Neurospora crassa OR74A: one gene and its partner. The protein of the gene in region 2 binds, or shares a complex with, the protein of the main gene of each other region. Links are inferred from orthologs where the notes say so. Each region holds a gene or a part of one and is shown on either strand. Other genes may lie near its edges.

Evidence for each region. Proteins that work in one complex are often made in the same cells at the same time.
Region 1: arp2 (region 2) and NCU09572 share a complex: the UniProt entries of both Saccharomyces cerevisiae proteins name them as parts of the arp2/3 complex. The link is inferred for Neurospora crassa OR74A from reciprocal best matches to the Saccharomyces cerevisiae genes ARP2 and ARC18.

Annotation. Positions count from the first base shown.
Region 1 is NC_026507.1:963,372-966,547, reverse strand, and holds NCU09572 (ARP2/3 complex 21 kDa subunit), read right to left. Parts: upstream 2,035-3,176; 5' UTR 1,781-2,034; coding exon 1,775-1,780; intron 1,534-1,774; coding exon 1,141-1,533; intron 1,016-1,140; coding exon 836-1,015; 3' UTR 501-835; downstream 1-500. Other genes in the region: NCU09571 (tRNA (adenine-N(1)-)-methyltransferase non-catalytic subunit trm6), read left to right, coding at 1-235. UniProt on the Saccharomyces cerevisiae protein: Functions as a component of the Arp2/3 complex which is involved in regulation of actin polymerization and together with an activating nucleation-promoting factor (NPF) mediates the formation of branched actin networks.
Region 2 is NC_026505.1:6,357,608-6,361,467, reverse strand, and holds arp2 (actin-6), read left to right. Parts: upstream 1-1,300; 5' UTR 1,301-1,503; coding exon 1,504-1,528; intron 1,529-1,752; coding exon 1,753-2,184; intron 2,185-2,246; coding exon 2,247-2,977; 3' UTR 2,978-3,360; downstream 3,361-3,860. Other genes in the region: NCU07170 (hydantoin racemase), read right to left, coding at 1-326, 391-501. UniProt on the Saccharomyces cerevisiae protein: Functions as ATP-binding component of the Arp2/3 complex which is involved in regulation of actin polymerization and together with an activating nucleation-promoting factor (NPF) mediates the formation of branched actin networks.

The sequences.
Region 1 (3,176 bases), on a different chromosome or scaffold from region 2:
GCAGTTCCCTCTCAACCCCACGCTGTTACTGGGCACAAGCATCCAGACTAGCAGGGCGAGGAGGTGGCAGGTGTTGCCGGGCAGGACGCATCCGTTGATGACGGAGCGCGGTGGTGCGGATGGATATATCTTTACTGGATGGAGAGCGAAGCCAGCGGAGGGCAAGATTGCGGCCAAGGGCAAATTTAAGAGGAGAAAGGTGGAGGAGAGCGTTTCGACGCCGGCTTCGGCATGAGTGGATTGGTCGGAAAGAGTTATTTATGGGAGTTCAAGGATGCCACTTCTCTCCCCGTGCATCGGAAGATCTCACACAGAGGTTTCCACGGAAGCAATGAGGTCGAGGGAAAGTCAGAAAGGAAAAGACAGTTAGAGCGTTTCGAGGCTCGCTTACAGTAGGTGGACTCGACCAGCCGAGGAGGAGTGGAGGCGACCATGGGTTTAAATGATTATGCTTTGTCCATGAAAGGCGGGCAAACAATGAGCAGGAGTCTGATAGTGGTAGCAGTTAGGAGAACCAGCATGACCGATATGCATAGATCTCGTTTGCTCTTAGATACCATTTGCACGAAATAGAGCTGCAGTAATTCTACTAATCGAACGTCAACTGGAGATATAACCCATGTCGCTCATGATCGGGTTTCAAGTGTATGTGTACTCGATCTATGCCTGATCGAACCGGACCACGCAAAAACAACAACAACTGAAAGTCTTGCTCGCTCGCCCCAACACACCCTCACACTCTAGGAAACTTGAAATATTATTTGTGTAGAGTACGTATTATACTTTGGCGCTAAACGATTCCATGCAACGCCATCTGAACAGGGAAGGCATCGCATCAGAGTCCCTTGCCCATGAACTTCCTCTTGGTAAAGCTCAACCACCACTTGCTCGGCTTGTCCTCGGTCTCGTCGTCGTACACGCGCGCCAATAACCTCTGCGCCAGTTCCTGCCGGACCTGCGACAGGTACTGACGGAGGACTTCTGCGTCTTGACGGTCGCGGGGGGGTTCATACATCTGTTTTGCGTCAAACTTATTAGCTGCCATCCATTTTCTTGTTCACCGCCGCGGGCCACATCTACTCCCATCACATTCACCGTATTCTATCTCCGCCCTAAATCCTTTACGCCAAAAAAACTCACCTGATTCAAAGGCCACCCAGGATCGCCCGGCAACGCAAAGTTCACATCCAGCGCCGCATTGTTCACTTCCTTCGTCGCCTCCCTAACGCCATAGTGCGGCTTGATGCGGCCCAGACAGTCGCTGATGTACCAGATGCCGTAGACCAGCAGGCGGTCGGCGGGGCCCTGGATCTCAAAGTTGCGGAAAAAGGTGTTGGCGCGGAAGAGAGCTAGCGTCTCGTCCAGAATGTCGTATGACTCCGAGTCCGGGTCGGGCGACTCGTTGGCGGCGAGCGGAGGGTCCGGGAAGGGGAGAGGGTAGATCGGCCCGCGGATCTTGGTGCGAAGCGGGAAGAGAGGGAAGTTGCCGATTAGGCGGGGGGAGGGGTCGGCGTTGAAGACGGAGTTGTAGGCCTAGAGAGTGGCGTCGTTAGTTGAGAGATTGAGAATGGGAATTTGTGTGTGAGGTGAGGCGAGAGGCGAAGAAATGCGATTGGGCGCAAAGCGGTTCGTGGTGTTGTGGGTGGTGGTGATGCGATCATGGACGAAGCTTTGTCTGACGATTAAGGGGTAGCTGGCTGGCTGGCTGGTATAGCTTGGGGAAGCTATACGCATAGCGGCTGGGTGTTGGGAGCTTGCGAATGGGTGCGCTTACCGGCATTGTGACGGTTGGTGTCAAGCTCCCTCTATGAAGCTATTACCAGATTAAGCAAATGGTGTTCAAGTTGGAAGTTAGGTAAATCTGGGATGTCGTGTTGACTTGACCGCGTCCGGGTTCTATGGCGCAGCCTTGCGGGGTGATGGGGTCAATTGGACTTGGGCTGGCCTTCCTGGACCTGCAGCGTGCCAGCGATGGGCGATGGCGGCTTCTCCTGCGCTGACGTCGAGCTGGCGGTGACGACCGCTGCTTGCACCGTGCCGCTGTGACGGACTCTGTGACAGTAGAGCTGGACTTGGTCTGTGCGTTACCTTTCTATTTGAATTTGTGGCTCAGCAGTGGCTGTGTCCGGACTCCGGATGAGGCCTGGTACAGTCAATGAAGCACTCCCGGTTCCCATCACGTGTAGAGTTACCGGAGCCGGCCTCGTCATCGGACAGGCAGCAGCTCGCTTGACTCCGATAAAGTGGATCTTTGCGGCCTGAAGTGGAGCCACCTAGTCCCGGGGGAATCGGAAGGTCTTGCACAATGCATCATCTGAAGGAGGAGAGCGAATGTGAACAAGTCAAAATGCCACTCCATTGGTATACAGAGGAAGATTCAGTTACACAAAGACTCTTCACGTGTCATGTAGTCAGCCACCGCGTTCGACGTGAGCGCCCGCTTTCCATGCAACTTAAGCTGCTGTGTCTCGGAATCCAGACAAAGAGCAGGACTCCATGCTCAAGATGGTGTTCCAAGGATCCATCCCATCATTACTCATTATGGCGGAATTTTTCAAGGAAGAAGATTGACCGAGGTTCACGCCGTGGTCGAGTCCAACAACCTGGAAGAGAGCCAACACCTGAATGTTGGTTGGATAGGACGAAGTTCAACACCGTGAACGCCGCGCTGCGCCCACCGCTGCCTGTTTGAACAACAGGGGGGCCCGTCGTCAAGGAGAGAGGAGAAGACTCAGAAAGCAGAAACATTGAAGAAACAAGAGGGGATGCCAAGACAATAAGTCACGGGAGCTCGTGTGCTAGCGCGTCGTAGATGATGAAATCAGCCAGCAGTCCAGACTTGGCTGGCTGTTGTTGGCGCAATTGTTCATCCGACGCAAATCCGGCCGGGGACTGCCACACACCCGACAGGCACACCACCAGTCGAGAGCGCTACTACGCTGCTTAGAGGTACTGTGATAGTAGTGTACGCACCAACGCGGAATCAAAAGCGCCGTCGTGCGCCGTCCACTGAGAAAGGGTGATGGAGGGGTATTTGGGGTTCTCCAGTCCCATCACATCACTCACTGCGTCACGGTTCTCTCCTCTACCTACAACTGCCTTCTTCAATCGTTCATTAAAACCAGCCCTCCGCTTCTTCACGCCCAAAGACAAACACAAGAACCCGGACAAACCCC
Region 2 (3,860 bases):
AGGTGCTCCTCCCAGTACTTGCCCGTCGTGACAATGCCCCATTTCTTCGTCGGGCCCGTGAGCAGCGACAGGCAAGTGAGGACGGATGCTTCAAAGATGCCCGTGACGGAGAGGGGAAAGCCGTTGGATGAAGCGAGTTCCGAGAGGCCGGGGACGAGTTGGTGCACGGAGTAGCAGCATACTAGGACGGCGTCGTGGTCTTTGAGGAGTTGAAGGTTGCTGCTGAGGTCTTGGAGGACGTGGGTGGCGGAGGTATCCAGGTCGGTGCCGTTGTTGATGCTGGCTGGACAAGAGGTAGGGGCTGTGTAGTAGGTGATTTTGATGTTCTGGAGGGGGGTGTTAGTCCACGTTTTCGGTTATTAGGGGTGGAGGAGAGAAGGGAAGACAGACGTCGGGGAGGTTTAGGCTGGAAATAGACTTTGCCATGCCATCGGTCATGGACTTGGAGGAGTTGGGGTTGAGGATCAGGATCCTGATTGGTTCTTGCTGGGCGGTAGTCATGTTGACGAAGGAAGGGGGGTGAGTGAGTGAGGTGAATCGATAAATGGTCTGAGAGGGAAATAGTCAGGTCTGAGTCCATTTTGGGAGGTATCATGAAGTACTCAGTTTGAAAGATTGACGATGGTAGAACCTGAATGGGAACAACCTACTAGTATCGTAATGAGTTGGTAAAATACCGATTGTATCGACGGCCTGAGTGAGAAAGAATAAGGCAACAAAGGGTCTGATAACCACAAATGAAGAATCAAAAAAAGAAGGGACGGGAAGAACCAATATCAATCTCCACTCTCAAATGCACAATCCATCCCGTCTGATCTCTCACGATGCCCAACAAGGTGCATGTACTACTGAAGGTACAAGTGCGAGTCTCATGCGGGGTATCACGTGGGTACCCTAATGCCTGCCACTTCCTTGGGGTCCAGAATCCTGCCAAGACCCGCTTGTCATCGGCGCTCGTCCTGGTCAAAATAATCGAGACCTTTGACATGATACCTTGGCTCCTTGGGTATACTGCTGACTCTCAAGTTCTAGGCAATTACAGAATGAAAATGTGTAAATAGGGCTCTAGCTGAGGTCTTTTTGAATTGTTATATTCCCTGTCACGGTCTTGCAGCGGTCTTTTCTATGATCTTGACGTCTAGTGAACTGGTTTACCTAGCCTGCTCGCTCGTCTCCTTTATTTTGGCTCAGACGAGCGGCGCCCTGTTTGAAGGAAAGCTTGGCAGTTAGCGAATGACCCCACATATCGATGCTACCCCCCCAGCTAGGCTACCGCGCTGGACTCCAGCTAATTACGGTGCCGTAGTCCACTTCGCTACCGTAACCCGGACAGGGCACCGACACCACTGCACCGACCGACCGACGGGACCACCGACACTTGGTTCCTGTTGATTCACCCGCGGGAGCTTTCCATTCTAGCTCCGATATACACTCGATATTCGAAACCCCGACGAAGCTATTCGCAACTCCATTGAAAGTTACCAAACCAAACAGCCGCCCAGCATGGCCAACACCGACGCTCCCATTGGTACGTCAGCTCTTCTCTCCGCCAACAACCCCTTATCCATCTGGTGTCTCGAGCTCAAGCTACCTTGACGACCACCAACACCACCACCACCCACCCATCTGCCTGACCGCGTCATCACCGTCGCCATGGCAGCTGTAGCCGTCGGACTCCGTCCTCAATCACTTCCACTTCACAACAACAAAATGAGCACAGCGCCCAGCTAACACTTCCCCCCTCGAACACAGTCCTCGATGGCGGTACCGGCTTCCTCAAGGTCGGCTACGCCGCCCAGAATTTCCCCGAATTCCAATACCCCTCGATAGTCGGCCGCCCCATTCTCCGCGCCGAAGAAGCCAAATCGCTTTCCGACTCCTCCGACATTGTGATCAAAGACATCATGTGCGGTGACGAGGCCGCGGCCGCCCGTACCATGCTCCAAATCAGCTACCCGATGGAGAACGGCATCGTCAAGAAGTGGGACGACATGCAGCACCTATGGGACTACACTTTTCACGAGAAGATGAAGGTCGATACGCGGGGAAGAAAGATCTTGTTGACGGAGCCGCCTTTGAACCCGTTGAAGAACAGGGAGCAGATGACCGAAGTCATGTTTGAGCGCTACGACTTTGGGGGTGTCTATGTCGCTATCCAGGCGGTGCTGGCATTGTATGCTCAGGGTATGTCACCGCTCCTTTACACGGCGACTTGAGGAAACAAGTAGCTGACAGACAACGCGCAGGTCTCTCCTCTGGTGTCGTAGTCGACTCGGGCGACGGTGTCACGCATATCGTTCCTGTCTACGAATCCGTGGTCCTCAACCACCTTACCCGCCGCCTCGATGTGGCCGGCCGCGACGTCACCCGCAACCTGATCGCCCTCCTTCTCCGCCGCGGCTACGCCCTCAACCGTACTGCCGACTTCGAGACCGTCCGCCAGATCAAGGAAAAGCTCTGCTACGTCTCGTACGACCTCGAGCTCGACAAGCGCCTGTCCGAAGATACCACCGTCCTCGTCGAGAGCTACACCCTTCCCGACGGCCGCGTCATCCGCGTCGGCTCCGAGCGGTTCGAGGCCCCCGAGTGCTTGTTCCAGCCGCACTTGGTGGATTGCGACCAGCCGGGTATCGCCGAATTCCTCTTCAACACCATCCAGGCCGCCGATGTTGACGTGCGCTCCTCGCTATTCAAGGCGATCGTCCTGTCGGGTGGTTCCAGCATGTACCCCGGCCTTCCAAGCAGACTGGAGAAGGAACTGAAGCAGCTGTGGTTGACGCGCGTGCTGGGAGGCAACCCCGAGAGGCTGAGCAAGTTCAAGGTCAGGATCGAGGACCCGCCGAGAAGAAGGCATATGGTCTTCTTGGGTGGTGCGGTGCTGGCGAATATCATGGCGGATAAGGAGAGCATGTGGATTACGAAGCAGGAGTGGGAAGAACAGGGCGCGAGGGTGTTGGAGAAGTTGGGTCCTAGGTAAGGGACTACCGAGGGTGAAGCTGTTTAGACTACAATAGCAGGCGATATAATGTTTTCCGTTGGTAGGTAAATAAAGGATAATGCGAGAGTTTGTTAGAGCTTGCTTGGGCTGGTGTAATTTTGTTGGTCCCGACAGGAGAAATCGAACAATGGCCTTGTGTCAAGAGTCATGGTCTTTTGGGATACCATGAAAGAAGTCCCCAATATCACAACGGCGCCAACATCAAGCAAGATGCGGACAGCGGAACGGGACGGTCCCGGACAAACATCGGGAAGACGGAAAGGTGAAATGGTCCACCCCCACTTGTTGGACATCGATACGGTACGCTAAGGCTGGCGGCGATACAGTGGCTTATCAGAGCTGACACACTAACAGAAGCAAACATCATCAGATCTCTGCTAGCCTGACATGTCGCTGGTGACGAAAAGGGTAATTGATGTTATTGTTTTCCTTCGTGTGTCACTTTGTTCTTGCCTTTGCGACAACAATATCAATCCAGCTCGTCGTCAAAATCCCCAGACCTGTCGTGTTCCCAGATCCTCACCGGCCATCTTTACTCGATTTCTCCAAACTCTCAAGCCCGGCTTCCATCGCCCAGCTACCGGCCACGCTAACACACCGTCTCCGCTCATCCATTCCCGAGTCTCACAGTGGTTTTCCCCCCGGGCCCGTGCAGATCGGGTACGGCTCAGATGACATGCCTCCGAAACCGAAATGTGAGTCGATGAACTTGATCCAATTCCTTCATTCAAAACATCATCCAGCCCTCCCAGCATGATCCCTTCAGTGTGTATCTTGTGCCCGGTTATATAGTTTATTTTCTCCAAATTCCCGAGAGCATCTTCAAACACAAAACAGACGGGCGGTGACTGCCCAGCCTCTC